Oreochromis niloticus: one gene and its partner. The protein of the gene in region 2 interacts with the protein of the main gene of each other region in a pairwise test. Links are inferred from orthologs where the notes say so. Each region holds a gene or a part of one and is shown on either strand. Other genes may lie near its edges.

What was found.
Region 1: the proteins of nif3l1 (region 2) and dhps interact in binary tests that used the Homo sapiens proteins (3 or more experiments, as listed by UniProt). The two-hybrid records come from large-scale screens. The link is inferred for Oreochromis niloticus from reciprocal best matches to the Homo sapiens genes NIF3L1 and DHPS.

What each region holds. Positions count from the first base shown.
Region 1 is NC_031969.2:16,865,074-16,872,902, forward strand, and holds the start of dhps (deoxyhypusine synthase), read right to left. Parts: upstream 3,104-7,829; 5' UTR 2,833-3,103; intron 2,170-2,832; exon of another isoform or gene 1,584-2,169; intron 1,465-1,583; 5' UTR 1,460-1,464; coding exon 1,265-1,459; intron 658-1,264; coding exon 508-657; intron 423-507; coding exon 301-422; intron 1-300. Other genes in the region: guanine nucleotide-binding protein G(I)/G(S)/G(O) subunit gamma-7, read left to right, coding at 3,928-3,960, 4,045-4,143, 4,899-5,024; fbxw9 (F-box/WD repeat-containing protein 9), read right to left, coding at 5,946-6,020, 6,470-6,535, 6,628-6,831, 6,924-7,072, 7,205-7,829. UniProt on the Homo sapiens protein: Catalyzes the NAD-dependent oxidative cleavage of spermidine and the subsequent transfer of the butylamine moiety of spermidine to the epsilon-amino group of a critical lysine residue of the eIF-5A precursor protein to form the intermediate deoxyhypusine residue.
Region 2 is NC_031973.2:16,634,301-16,641,269, reverse strand, and holds the start of nif3l1 (NIF3-like protein 1), read right to left. Parts: upstream 3,084-6,969; 5' UTR 2,984-3,083; exon of another isoform or gene 2,890-2,983; intron 1,898-2,889; 5' UTR 1,888-1,897; coding exon 1,302-1,887; intron 1,184-1,301; coding exon 1,027-1,183; intron 1-1,026. Other genes in the region: cabp5a (calcium-binding protein 5a), read right to left, coding at 6,883-6,911. UniProt on the Homo sapiens protein: May function as a transcriptional corepressor through its interaction with COPS2, negatively regulating the expression of genes involved in neuronal differentiation.

The DNA of each region.
Region 1 (7,829 bases), on a different chromosome or scaffold from region 2:
ACCAGTCCAATCCAATCCATTTAGTTTAATGGCACTGCTTCCTCTCTGTGCAGTGCCATCGATCATAAAGCGAATAAGCATGTTTTCTTTAAAGTGGACCTATTATTGCTTTGCCTTATATACTGTTCATCTACACTGTTTAAAAAAAGTTTCAAAAGGGGAAGTCAAACAGAAGAAAGCCAGGGGGATGAGCTAAAACGGAAGCTGAAGAGTGGCCACAACAAACAGTTTTATATTTTACTATTAATATTTTTATTTTACATGTTAGCTTACAGATACACTGCGGCAGCCCTAACAAACCTGTTGATGCCTCTCAGGCGGAGCTCCTTGCCGGGGAGGCTGAAGTCTCCCAGGTAGGTGTGAGCCAGGCACTTGATTAAATCCTCCTCGACGCCTCCTGCTGTGGTTACAATCACATCCACCTGACGCAGAGGAACAGATTCTAAGAAACCGGGTGACTGATTTAGAACTTATGTGGATCGTTACATGAGACGTGTCATTATGTACCATTTTGTGCTGCGCCAAATAGCGGATGCTTTCTCTGACTCCGGAGCTGATGAGGTTGGAGGTGTACCCCAAGAAGATGGTGCAGCCTGACTTTGGGGTTTCCGACTCATTTCCTTCCCCTTCCTCCACTGGTTCGAGACGCTTCTCGATCTGTGGTGGCCGAAATCATTGGTGAGCAACAGATAAACAGATATCGCAAACATACAACGTGGATCACTATGGCAACAAACACACCTTACAAGTGAGGCCAAACACAACAGCGTTGAGCAGCTGGCTCCAAAACCACCGCTGGCTCAATGTCAAACCTTCATCAAAGTCAACAAATTTGTACTTTTGCACTCCATCTCCAAGTTTTGAGGTAAACAGAGCGCAGGATAAAAGTGAGGTTTGATTGTGGGTGTGACACATGTGCCCGGTCTGGAGTGACTGATAAGCCTTTTGGATGAGGAGGGCGAATAAAAGTCTCTCAGTGTCAGTGGAGCAAGACTCCAGGAAGTTAAAAGCTTTTAGGGTTCTTTGTTTTGTTTTGTTTTTTTTAAATAGTGACATATTCATATCAATATGATCCCTATGATTCCCATCAATAGGATTCCTCTTGTACTGCAGTGGAAGAAGAAATGCCAAAAGATGCACATAGCATAACCTGGGCAAGCAAAACCAAAACTATCTATAAGACAAAAGGAGAAGGTGTGGGTGCCAGACACCTTGTAGTCGTTTACTGAAAGTTAATAACCCCCCCCAAAGGCATTCCTCTCACCATGGTGTTGATCTCCTGGATAGCCAGGGCTAAGCTGCTGGCCTGGAAACCCGTGGTGAGATAGGACTTCAGCACCGCATGGAGATCGACTCCCTGGTTGAAGTCGTAACCTCTGATTTTCGGCATGTCCTTGGGGAGGTCACAGCTAGGCTTCAGGACAGCCTCCATGGCAACTGAGGGCGCCTGGTCTGCCATCTTTTCTGCAAAAGACAATCACCAAACAGAGACTCTTTGAGATTTCCACAGAGATGGGCCTTCTTGGAGGTTTTCAGCATATTTTAGGTAAAAAAAATAAATAAATATAACGCACACTTGCAGATCCAGCTTATTCAGGATGTTATTTATTTGAATGTGCAAATGTTGGGAAGAACATTTTCCTGAAACATTTGGTTACTGGAGTGTTTGCATGTAAAGAAACTAAAGTTAGTGGATTCCTAGTAAAAATTTGAATAACTGAATTCCTGGAAAGGCTAGCAGCATGTTTCTAAGGTGGATGTCCATCCTGCAGATTCCTTTAAAGTGCACCTACTGCAGTTTTCCTGATTTTCTATACATCATTCATTACAGTGCTAAAAACCTCATAGAAAGGTCAACATATGCAAAAGTAATCCATGTGAACCAGAAGTGGAGACTATATACTGCTTTGTTTTTGGGCCTCCGAATGATGTCAGTGAGGGAGGATTTCTTCATTTGGTCAGCTAAGGCTCTGTGAACAACAGCTCCACCCATCTGCTATTGAAACCTTCTGTTTCCGAGGGCAGCCAATCAGAAGAAAGCAGGTTTTTAGGGAAGCGGTTGAGGGCAGGTACAAGATAAATAAGGATTATTTTAACTGTTATTTACATAAAGATACTCTAGTAGATTCCATAAGTAAAAACATGGAGCTGGAAATGAGCAGATAGCAGGTCTGTTGTATATTCTCGTATCTGGTGGCTCAAAATCTCTTTAATTTCATACCGTAGTTGAAGTGAAGGAAAATAACTTGTATATTTATTACCACAGCAATGTACTGCAGTTACATTGCTATAGATCTGCTGCACAGTTTACTCAACTATGCTGTAATTTTACTCGTTAACACTTTACATAAACATATGGCAAGCTTATAAAATCAGCTATCTGATTTTATGAGTACTAACGCTGTGAGAGGTGACTGGGCATTGATTTATCAGGATATTCTAATACTTATTTTGAGGATTACATATCTGGTGATTTCGTTAATGCACATGCTAATGTGAGAGTAAGCAGATGAATATTTTAAGTGTAAATGCGACTTATGGCCATCACGTTGGTTTTGATGAGCTTTTAAAAAAATAACATCGATTTCACAGCCACAAAATATCTAAACTTTAAAAATCCTGTGGTTTAGATGTAAAATTCCACTTATTTTTGGAAGAAATGCCTTTGTACAGGGACTTGTCTTTATTAAAAGAGCATATGGCGTTTAGCAGGTGCTAAAACATCAATGAAAACATACAAAATCCATGTGATCAGACGTTAGCTAGAAGCTAACTCTGAGTCAAACTAGCTTGAATCGCGACTTAACATCTAAAAGAGAAATGAAGACATACCTGTTCTTGAAGAGGCGTCAGGTGATGAAGAAGGCTGAGCAATAAACGGCTGTCACTACGCGCAAAAAAACAAATATTGAAGATTTGTATTCCCCTAAACGTCGCATGGATCGCCTGTGAGAAACGAGCTACTTCTACGGAAAGTGAAAAGGGACAAATGTGACCCAGGTTGCCCTTTTTTTTTTTAGCTACTCTACCTTTGTGATGTTCACAGTGTTTTTATTTCTCATCTTCCACATATAGACAAATAGTAATATTTTAGGAGATTTTTTTCCCACCCCTTCTTAGATCTCCGCAGAATTCCGTGAAGTTTCCCATTGTTTTGAGTGTCAATCAGTCCAGTGAGGGCTAATCACAAATCCTTTTTATGCTACACCCACCAGTTGCAGTCAGCCATGATCACTAATGAGAAATTAACAGGCCTTGACCATTTCAAGTTAAAACACAGTATAGAACCTTCAGCACCACTTATTAAAAGATTTGGGTGTAAAAGATAGTGTTGGGCCTGTATGTATACTGTTGAGGCTGTGTGGATTAGAGAAAATCCTAAATTTCCAATTCTTGTTTTTTTAAGTCATGCCCATGAGGAGTGTATGTAAACTTCTGACATAACTTTAGATGAATACTGTAATACTATGCAGTATGTTTTAATATTAGGGGAATATTTGACCTTGTTAAAATATTTTTCTCTATATCAAACACATTGTGAGAGCTCAGCAGTGTGTCACACATGCATTCGTTTCCCATCTGCCCTGATGTAATTAAAAAAAAAAAACTTGTCCTAAAATTTGTCATTCATCAGGACCCACTAATCACTGAACTCAAAAAGAGTCAGATGAGCTCAAACTTTTGTACTATCATAAAATCTTCTGTCAAAGTACAGACACATAATCTTGGTTTAAGGGCAGACCACATCTCTGAAGCACAGCCTCCAGCAGTGCCTGTGAAGAGATGTGATGTTTGTGACATTTCCACCACTGTGTTGTCTGACCTTTTCTATCACAGAGTCTTTGAACTGGCCCCAACAGGGAATTAAAAAAAATAAACAGAGGAGGGTACAGGTCAAAAGGAGGAGTCGGGAGCATCTCTGAGCAGATGCTCCTGTATAACCTGAGCTGTTTAGATCAGGTAAGTGACTGGTGTAACTCATTTTCCTGCTGCTAACTTTGGTGTCATAGGAGTACATTTTATTTCTGTGTTTTTGCTCTCAAGACAATGTCAGGAAAGATGTGCAGCAGCAGCAGCAGTGTTATTCAGGCACAAAAACTGGTGGATCAACTTCGGGTAGAGGCAAGCATGGAGAGATTCAAGGTGGGTAAGAAACTAAATCACCTTTATAGAGGCGGGCAGATTGATATAAATATTAATTGGATTGATACTAAGCATGATTTGGTTGATATTTGTTTCCATCCTCTACGTTCAGTATGTAGATCACTAAATTGTATTAAATTAATACTTTTTTTGGGGGGGGGGATAAAATACTATAATTTCAGCACGCGCTATGAATAATGTCTGAATCTTTTTGTGTTTATTGTCACATCAGTTTTATTTAAAGCCTTCAGCACATTTAAACAACAGAAGCAGATCCAAAGTGCTTTAGACACATACACATTTACATTCCAGGTCTCCAAAAAACCAAAAACAGTTACAAAATACATAGAAATCTGAAATGTGTTTTGTAGTGTTAATTGTTGAATGTAAAAATCAGTGTTTTAGTGGTCATTAAGATGTGTTCAGAATTTGAAAACTTATGATTCCTCTGGTTGAATTTATGACACACTGCCCTCCCGACATAAGCTGGCGACATAAGTTAAAGGTATCAGTATCTGTATTTACCTGGTATTGGATCAATATTAATTTTTAGTATTTTACACTTTAATTGCTCCATTAAAGTCCCTCCTTCTCCAAAGTACTGAATAAAATATATATATATATATATATATATATATATATATATACATATATATACATATTCATTTTATTTTATTTTTTAAACATCCCATGCTCACTGTCCAACAGTTTTTCATACTTGTGTCTAAAATCCAGTCAACTCTCTGCCCCAGCAGATCTCTCTGACAGCAGCAGATTTAGTCCAGTACTGTCAGGAGCACAGGCGCAGCGACCCCCTGCTCACCGGCATAGCCGCTTCATCCAATCCCTTCAAAGATAAGAAGACCTGTGTGATTCTTTGACGGCTCCCAGACGGCGCTGTGAGGAAAACCTCTGTCTGAGAACACAACCACGAACATGCACTGTGTAAACGATAATACATGTTCTCATCTGGGAAATCACAAAATAATCCACGCACTTGATTTTTAGAACATTTAATGTTGTCTTCTGTGGAAACAGTCTCTCAGCACGTTTGTAAATGATTTTTGGTCAATATTAAAATCACACACAGCATATGGACACAAATAATAACGCTTTCTTGACTGTATTCAAATAAATAGCTATAGAACTACGATCAGTGTGTCACAGCAATAAATACTTTACTGTACATGAAACATTTAAGTTAATTAAGTAATTATTGTTGTATAATGCCAGTTTACATATGAGATTCAATAAATGTATTAAAATTACAAACATTTACATGTCTGTGGTTTCAGTGGTTTGAACATAGCATATTTAAAGTGTCTTTAAGAGTGATTAGGTCAGTAGTGGCACAAAATGAAAATTTTGGGGGAAAACATTGGAAATAAACATTTGTTTTTTTCATCTGTAGAAAAATCTTGTCAGTGGCTCAAACAAGATAGAAATAAAAATAATAAAAATACAATGTGAGGGTTTGTGACAAAACGAAAATACCTGAAATATCCTCCACCACACATTTACAACTAAATTAAACAACTGAAAGCAGTCATTTCAAAATAGTTTACTTAAAAATTAAAAATAACCTGATTGGTCATCATCTGTCGTCATTGTCATCTCTTCTCTTCTCTTTTGTGTTCGTCTGTTTACTCAGCACTTACATGACTGTTGATATAGCCAGGCTTCCAGGCAACGGCAGCTTCTTTATTTGTTATTATACGTTTGTTGATTTGTATAGAGACACAGAACAACACAACAAAGACCGGGGTTCCTGTTTTCAGTGTTGCCATGTAGTTTCTTCCACTTCATTTTCGGGGCCTCCAGATTTGCACCCTGACATCACCGGACGCTACGGCGAGGACTCCGGCCTCCACGCTCAGCTGAAAGTTTTCACACAGTGCAGTGAGAGAAACGAGAGGGAGAGAGCAGACACATGAACAATGAAAAGAAGCCCACATTAATAAAGTTAAAATATCATCACTGATGCCCCGAGAGAGAACTGTCAGTACTTTGCAATCACTAATATTGAATCCCTCCAAAAAAGTTCAAAAGGTGTCGTCTTTGATCATCCGAAAAAAACAAAAAAAACAAAACTATAGCAACCCCTCAGCTACTGCAGAACTGACAGATCCTAACCAAAACCAGAAAGAGAGCAAATATAAAACCAGTTTTAAAGTCTCTGCATTGGCTTCCTGACAAGTTTTATACGGTGTGTGTTTGCTGGGGCTTTTTTGCACATGTTGCTGTTCTGTAAAGCATTCTGAGCTACAAAGTTGTATAAAAAAAGTTGCTATATAAGCAAAGTGTTAACTGACTGCACAGCACTCACCCCATGGACCCCAGCTTGATAGTGCAGGGTGCTTAACGTCCTCGGAGGCGCGCATGGTATATGAACCTGAAGCCCAGGCGGGAAAATTACAATTCATGACTTTAAAGACATTCAGTAGCAGAATTCCAGCAGCTTAAGTTAACGAAGAATTCTCTCACCTTGACGGTGCAATCAGATGAACAGGTGTAGAGGCTTCCGGAGGATCTGTGGATGCCAGTGATCAGAGCTGTGTGTCCCACATCAAACTGGGAGACAGCCTTAAAGGTCCCCGCCTGCATGGTAAAGGAGTGCAGCATGCCGCCGTTGTCTCCTGCCCACACCTCACAGCCACTGTAGCTCATGGACAGCAGGTAGGAGCTCAGCTGTAAAGTGGTGGGTTGGGTGGAGTTAGTGGCTTGGTGTAAAGGTGGATATAAGTATGTTTACAAAAGCACAAGCTCTTCAAGAAATCTACCCGAAGTCTCTTCAAGCCTTTGCCTGCTCTGCGGTCATAGACGGCCACAGTGCAGTCTTTACTCCCTGAGATGATGTATTTGTCATCTGCACAGAGGCACATTACGGCGTTACTGTGCATACGGATGCTTTTCACCAGTGGTGCAGCAGCTGTGGACAAAAACAGACAGAATCCACCTCAGCAAGTCATTTGTCTGTATAACTGCTTTGCATTTACTAAACTCTTGACCCTCATGTGCACTTTCTACACAGCAAAACAAGCTTCATATAAATCCCTCTCACCTCTGGTGTCATACATGCTGACCTGCTTGTCAAATGTACCAGCCAGCAACATGTCGGGCTGACAGGACAAGCAGAGAACAGCAGCCCTGGTCCTGATGAGGGCCCTATCTGCACCTCCTGCCTGCAGGTCCCACAGCCTCACAGTGCTGTCAAAGCCCCCTGAGGCCAGCAGAGGTCCTTGAGATGCCAGGCACCAGACCCAGCCTCGATGGCTGCTAAAATCACCCTGCCGTCCCATCGTGTGCAGCAGCGAGCCCAGCTCCAGATCCCAGAGCTTTACGTTCCAGTCTCTGGAAGCTGTGGCACAGACCTTCCCCTCTCCCCCAAGGAGGAGGACCGAGTTTACATGGGCAATGTGGCCTGAAGGCAGGGTAATGCACTCCAGTGCTGGTGGTGGGCTTGGACTTCTTGCCTCTACATGTTGCCCATTACCCAGATTCCTGTGGTCTGGCAAGTCTTCTTGGTGATTAAGAAGTGCATCTCGGCCCTCGTTGGCATTAAAAACCCTTCTGTGGTCCATTTCTTCTTCCATTAGTGCTGCAGCATCACCCTCTAGTCTGTCTTCAAGCTCTTCTCTTAATCTCGCTACTTGGTCCCCACCTAAGACATGCTGCATTTCACCCTC
Region 2 (6,969 bases):
TAAGACATGAATTTTGAAAACGTTGGTTTCTGGCTGCGCTAAGGTTCTTTCAGACCCTGTTTCCCATGTTTAATCCATGATTTACAACTACAGAAAAGCTTCTTTCCCCAACTTAAAAGCCACTTTGAGTGATGCAAGTGTATTCTGATTGGTCCGGGTGTGAGTGTCAAACACATAAATCGAACGACCACTAAACAAAGGTGACATTAACATCAGTAAAACATTAGCCACGTAAACAACAGCTGTTAAAGCAAGGCTTAAAAAGAAGAGGAAAAAAACACAAAGAAAAATCTGCAAATATATGCAAGGAGGAAGAAGAGAAATCCATCATTAAGTTTGGATATATTATTAACAGAAACTTGCTGTTTCTAAAACAAGAAAAAAAGATTTAGATTTGGAATATGGTGTCTTATATAGGGAAAAATCACACTGAAGTTGGATCAAAATGTTGTTGTTTTTTCCTTTTTCCATATTCAAACTTTAGTATGTGTGAAATTATTCACCCGACTTAGTTTTAAAAGGATATTATGTGCTTTATGCATGAGAAACTGTAAATAAAGTATCAGTCCTCTACAGTTTCTACAGCCTTCGAAATATGCTTTCAGTGATAGGATATCCAATTATTTTAAGGCCTTCAAGCATCCATGTTCATAGTGCCATACTACCTGATATTTACCCTAATAATGACATTTTAGTTTTAGTTGGGAAAAGGGGCTAAACACAGCCTTACTTTCAACCCCTAAGAAATAAAATTTATAACATATATATATTTGAAGTTTCTGTAAGTTGTCCGAATGCAAACTGAAAAAAATCTTTGGTAATAGTTATAGTCCAAAAGCAGCTTTGGATTACCTGTGATGACTTCAAGTGTCTGTGGGTGATTTCCAACTTTGATTAAAGCTAAACTCAAATTACAATAATGCGTGTTTGGAAGAAATAAAACAAAAGTAACACATATATGACAAAACTACCAAAATGGTCCTTGAATTTAAAGCTTGTTGCTAATCGGTGATGTCTGAACACAACCTGCTGCCTGAATGCTGTAGGGTCGTTCCACTGTCGCAAGCCTTCAGCTCCTCCATGATCATGTTTAGTTCCTCTGCGCTTCTGACCGTGAATTCCAGTTTGTGACTGTGGGAGGCGGCGCCGAGAACCTGACTCAACACCGACACCTGACCGCTGCCTGATGCGACAAAGAAAAAAGCAGTGGGGATGAAATGAAGGTCAGTGAATAAGCATCATGTTCATATCTAATGATTTAAGTGCGAGCATCACATTTTACATTCAGAGAGACTTCTCACCAAGTCCTCCAACCAGCCAGTCGTTCACGCCTCCTTTCACGCAATCCCATGAAGTGTGAGGGGAAAAGACCGCTATGCCAGCCTCCACGGCCCGCACAGCCAGCCGCTGCTTCCAGTCTTTCTGAACCAGACGCTTGATTGGCCGAAACAACGGCGGGTGATACGAAATAATGAGATCGCAGCTCACAGCCACTGCTTCCTCCATGACGGCATCTGTGAGGTCGTTGGTTAGAAGAATGGTCTTAACGGGCCGAGGTTTGCTCGGCTCCACCAGCAAGCCGACATTATCCCAAGACTCTGCAAGCGACAGTGGAGCAAGCTGCTCCAAAACCTGCAGAACTTCCTTTAACTCCATCAGACCGGACGAATGAGCTGAGGAGAAATTAAAAGATGGAGGAAGGCGAGCTGAGCTTTGTGTGCTAGGCAGGAAGTGATGACTGTGGGTAGATGAAGAAAGAGAATGAAGGACGGATGAAAAGGCAGAAGAGCACAGAGCAGCTCGGGACGTAAAACTCTGTCTAGGCCAAAGTCTTCTACTGGTGAGCGAGAAAAATGTCCAAGAGAGATTTCTACATCCAGTCAACATCAGGGGAGATCTGTGTGGACAAAAAGAAATAACTAAATAATCATAAATGTCAGACATTCACTCATATGTGACGGCAGGTTTTTGTACAAGGCTGAAACTAACAATTGCTGAGCTATCATCTTCTTCTTCTTTCCACTGTCCACTTCAGGCGTTCACCACAGTGGATCATCTGCCTCCATCTCACCTCGCTCTAAAATCCTCATCTGCATGACCTCCTTCACTACATCCATGAGTCTTCTCTGTGGTCTTCCTCTTCTCCTACTGCCTGGCAGCTGCATCTTCAATATTTTTTGTCTAATATATCTACCTTCACATACATACCTCTGCTCCTGGCAGCTTCACTATCACACCTGTCTTACTATCGTTCACACAGTGTTCTTCTTAATCTAGCTTCAAAAACGTTTTCTCATGTCTTCATGGTGTCATCTTTAACCCTCTGTGGTCCCTCTTTGTAATCTCTATACCTCCATAGGATTCTACTGATTTCCTGATCAAATTATTAGATGTCCTGTCTATGCTGAGTCTATTCTCAGTCCCAGCCTGTGCTGCTCACACTGACGCCTTCAGATCTCACATGCACTGAATGTCTGACATTTTTAAAAGAAAAAAATGTAACTTAATCCAGTGATCGGTTTTGTATGGTTTTATACGCATTTCCACCTTTCCATTTCTATTTCCACATGGATACAGATGTTGTTTCTGCGTCGCTTACAGACTCCATCCAAAGTTAAACACAGTTAGCAAACAAATACAAACAGACGGCTACAACTCTTAAGCGTACATTTTTTTAGTCCGGAGCAAATCATTCAGTAAAAGCCACACACATGCACTTTATGATTATTATAAACATTATTCATAGACTTAATACCAGCTGCTTTGAGTTGTGACAGCTGCAAAGCGTGCAGCTAACAGCAGAGCTAGTTAGCTGCCATTAGCTGCCACAGTAAACCGTCCTTTAACGTCACCACACCAGCATGTCAATATGTGCACGACTCAACTTACTGTCGCTTGTTTCTCACGGATGAAAACTAATAACACTATGGTTTTCAGTTTTTAGCTAAATACATTCTGGTGAAGTGGCAGAGGATGTACTTACTACAGAACTCGCAAGATGTCCCTTTTCGGCTTCCGTCCGCAGCAGCTTTTTTTTTTTTTTACTTTAATGAATGAATTTATTTATTTATTGATGGGGTCAAGTTATGTCTCTGGCCGTGACCATGAGCACATATATATATAACTTACAAAGTAAGTATTATAAATTAGTAATACTTTTTTCTTGTTTTTTATTTATTACCCAAAACTGGCCATTGCGCCAGCGACAAAGAAACTACAACTTACATGTAGGAAGGACTGAGCGCATGAGCAACAATACAAAGAGGAAAATAGAGAATAACAATGAATAAATAATATTAACATAATTACAAGTGATATTAATTCAGCCCAAATGAAATAAATAAATAATAAAAAATAAAAACAGAGCTTTGTAAATGTTCATTTTCTGTGACTTTTTAAAGTTTCACATATCCTTCATAAAATTTGGAGAAAGATGGTTTTAATATTCAGGAATCTGCATCGATGAATAAAATAAACAGTATTATCAAGACTTTGTTGAACTCCAGCTTGGGAAAATTTGGTTATATATTTGGTTTGGTTTGGATTTTGTTGGAAAGAGGAACTGGTGTAAGTTTTACTCCCCTTCTCTGTTTGGCATTTGTGTACATCTCTTCTATAATTGGTTTCAGTGCTGCACAGATTGTTGGACGCTGATAGAAAAGACCTCCTGTGTCATCTTTAGTTCACCCCCAGGTCTTATTAGTCTACACCTGAAGGCGCTCTGGCGTGACTCTGATGCAAGATTAGAGGCTGTGTCCATTATGCTGACAAGTTTCCTCAGCACTGAGAGGACAGAAGTGGATTTCCTTAAGACCGTATTGAGTCAATCAGCTGTGCTGTCCCAGTACACTACAGCATAAAAAATATGACGCTGGCCACCAAAGAGTAAGAAAACAACAGACGCATTGAAAGATTCACAAGTGGCTCACTGTTTAGCTACAGTATTCATTTAAAGGAACAAAACTTGTGCACATTTTTCAAACAGAGGCCAAGAGGAAGTTAATTAGCTGAAGGTGAAGCAGCTTACTGATCTCTTTATTACAGGTCGGACGTCAGTAAGACTGAGAAGCACAGAATTTCCTCATCACTCACTTCTCCTGTCCCACTCAGTCCTTTCTTTTTCCGTTAAGGTAGTGCAAATAGCAACAGATTTGTTGAAGTATTTGTAGCAGTGGAATAATGAAATAACAACATTTGAGCATCCCAAAAAAACAGTTAAGAAAAACAATATTTCTCAAGTCGTTACGGTTCGGCTTAGTGTTTTTCAACAACAAGCTTCTCGGTGTTTATAGCGCTGGTGTTATGCAATATTGTCTGTACGCAATGTTATAAAACAAATTCACAGATTAATGTGAGCAAGCAACAACTGAATGACTTTGATAAGCTGTATTTACTCTCACAGGGCAGGTGCTCCAGCAGCAGATACCCCGCAGTGCATCCGACTCTTCTCAGAAAGATTAAAGCTAACCAAATGAAATCTGCCTGGGGAAGGGGCTATCAGTGCAATAAGTTAAAATGGTAAGGCTTGTTTTTTTGTGTTTTTTTAATGTGTCTGGCTGAGAAGAAGTCACTGGGTATAGAGGCTACATCAGAATTGAGTCTGAGAGCAACCAAGAGAGAGATTACTGAGGATTAATGCAATAAAGGTTGACGCTGGATGTTAGAGGGATCAGGAAGGATCAGGGCAAAGGCCAGCCAGTGAGCATTACATCATCGGATTCTTCCTCTGGACTCATCAGCCCTCGCTTGGCACTACATCCATAAGGTTAAATGTGCCCCCCACCCTCCTCTTTAAACACCCTCACTTACATTAGTGTGCCATTAATAGCAGTGAAATCTTTCCTATGTCACTTTTTTTGTTTCAGTGTCTCTCTGAGTCCCAATCCACATAAAAGAACAATCATTTCAAAATAAAAGTATTAATATTAATACTAATAGTAATAAAAGACGAGATATTTAGTTACTTTTCCATTAAGCATACCGACAGAGCGATCACTCTCTCTGTGGAGCACCACTCACAGATGTGTGTTTAGTAATTAGGTTCACTTTTGTTCATTGGCAGCATAAGTCCTCATGCCCCATCTGTCTGTCTGTTTGATGCTGTGCCCAGTTTGTCATGCAGCAACATCTGCCTGGCTGGTGTTCCCCAAATGTGACAGTACAGTGTGTCCCGTAGCACATCCCTGAATTCAGCCCCAATATTTAATCCCAGCTGCGCTGGCTCTGGATCCGTATGACACAATTACTGATCACCAACTGCAAGAATGATTTAGTCCACAGGTTAAAAAAAAAAAAGAAAGTGTTCACGTGCCACAAATTTCACTCAACTTTTCTTTTCCTTTCTTTTTTTAATGGATATGGGGTTATAATACTCTTTAATACTATTAAGCTCCTCTCTGTGTTTTATGTCCATATTTCCGTGAAGTTCCCAACTTACACAGAGTATTAACCTCAAATAATGGCTCAGACTGTCTCTCTAAAAGGACAGATTCTGGGACATGAACCTCTTTTTTTGTTTTGGGGGAGGTTTTTTTGCTCTTAATACCTTTAAATCTGTTATGCATCAGTCACAAAATCCCAAATTTCTGCCTCTTTTCAGTTACAGTTTCTTATTGTCCTTCCAAAGTTTTTACTCAATCCTAGTAGAACAGAGTCCCTAAACTTTTTCATGTTTAAATCACTTCCTTCTGGCATGAAATGACTGCACATTACTGGAATGCAAGAAGTCACAAGGACAATATGGTCTACGCTTAAATGAGTCAAGTGTCTGTGGGTTTCTTTCAGGCGGACACAGAGAACTTTCTTGTTCCACAGATACTCCTGAATCCTTTTCAGATGTTCAGATCAGATGTTTTATTTTGTGCTTTGCCAAAGAAAGGCAGATCCATGTTACTGCTTCACTTGTTGGAAGTTAGTTACAGATTACCTAATACAACCAGCTCAGGTTAATAATGTACAGTACAGTAGTAGCTTAACTTTACATCCTGCTTTGTTGTAACATTGTTTAAATGGTAAGAATAATTCAATAACAATACAAATATAAAAACAATTCCAATTCAACAAACTTCCACTGTATACAGTATATATCAGGGTTGTCAAACATGAGGCCCAGGGGCCAGAGTGGGCCTGGCAAAGACTACAATCTGGTCCACAAGATGCCTTTGGAAGATATGCATACATTTTTGGACTTTTCAATGTATTGTAACAAGTTTTGGAGTTTTTTCCTGCTGATGAAGACTTTCCTCGTGCCCATTCATTCTACACCAAAGTAATTAAGTAATAGAGAAACAATTAAACACAGAAAATTTCATTTTTTTTCACTATTGACTATAGAAGTTTCATTTTTTTACAATAAGTCCACAAAAAAGGACACTATCTGTGAAGTAACAAGAACTTTCTGATTTTTTTCTGTAAACTTACACAGTTATTTCTCACAATCTTGCCCAGAGAGTCACGCTGAGAGGTTTCTTTCATTTACCACAGCAGCATTACTTTATCATGTGGAAAAACTGAGACACACTTGCACTTCTTTTTCTTATATTAAGATATTTCAGTGATTAAATATATACTTAGACTTCTTTCCACTGCCCACTAAGGATCAACTAAATGAGTTTGACATCCCTGGTATATATGATGAAACATAACAACAGAGTTTTTTTATTTTAGCACTCTTACATTTGAAAAATCATTACAAATTGTTATTATTTGCATAGCTATAAAATCCGCTCTGAGATCAGTCTGATATTGCTTGTTTCCAGCATGTAATTTTAACATTTCTTGTGTTTGTGTTGTTTTTGCAAGCCCAGAAAAGAACAGCATCAGTGTTAGTGCGTGTTTGCAGAGGTGCAAATGAATGTTCCTGACTGGCCTTGTCCTGGACTGTCATTGATGGGACATCATTCTGACAAATTCTGCAAAGGAGAAGAAGACGCGGATCAGTTGCTTCACTTCACTGCACTGTTACTCTTT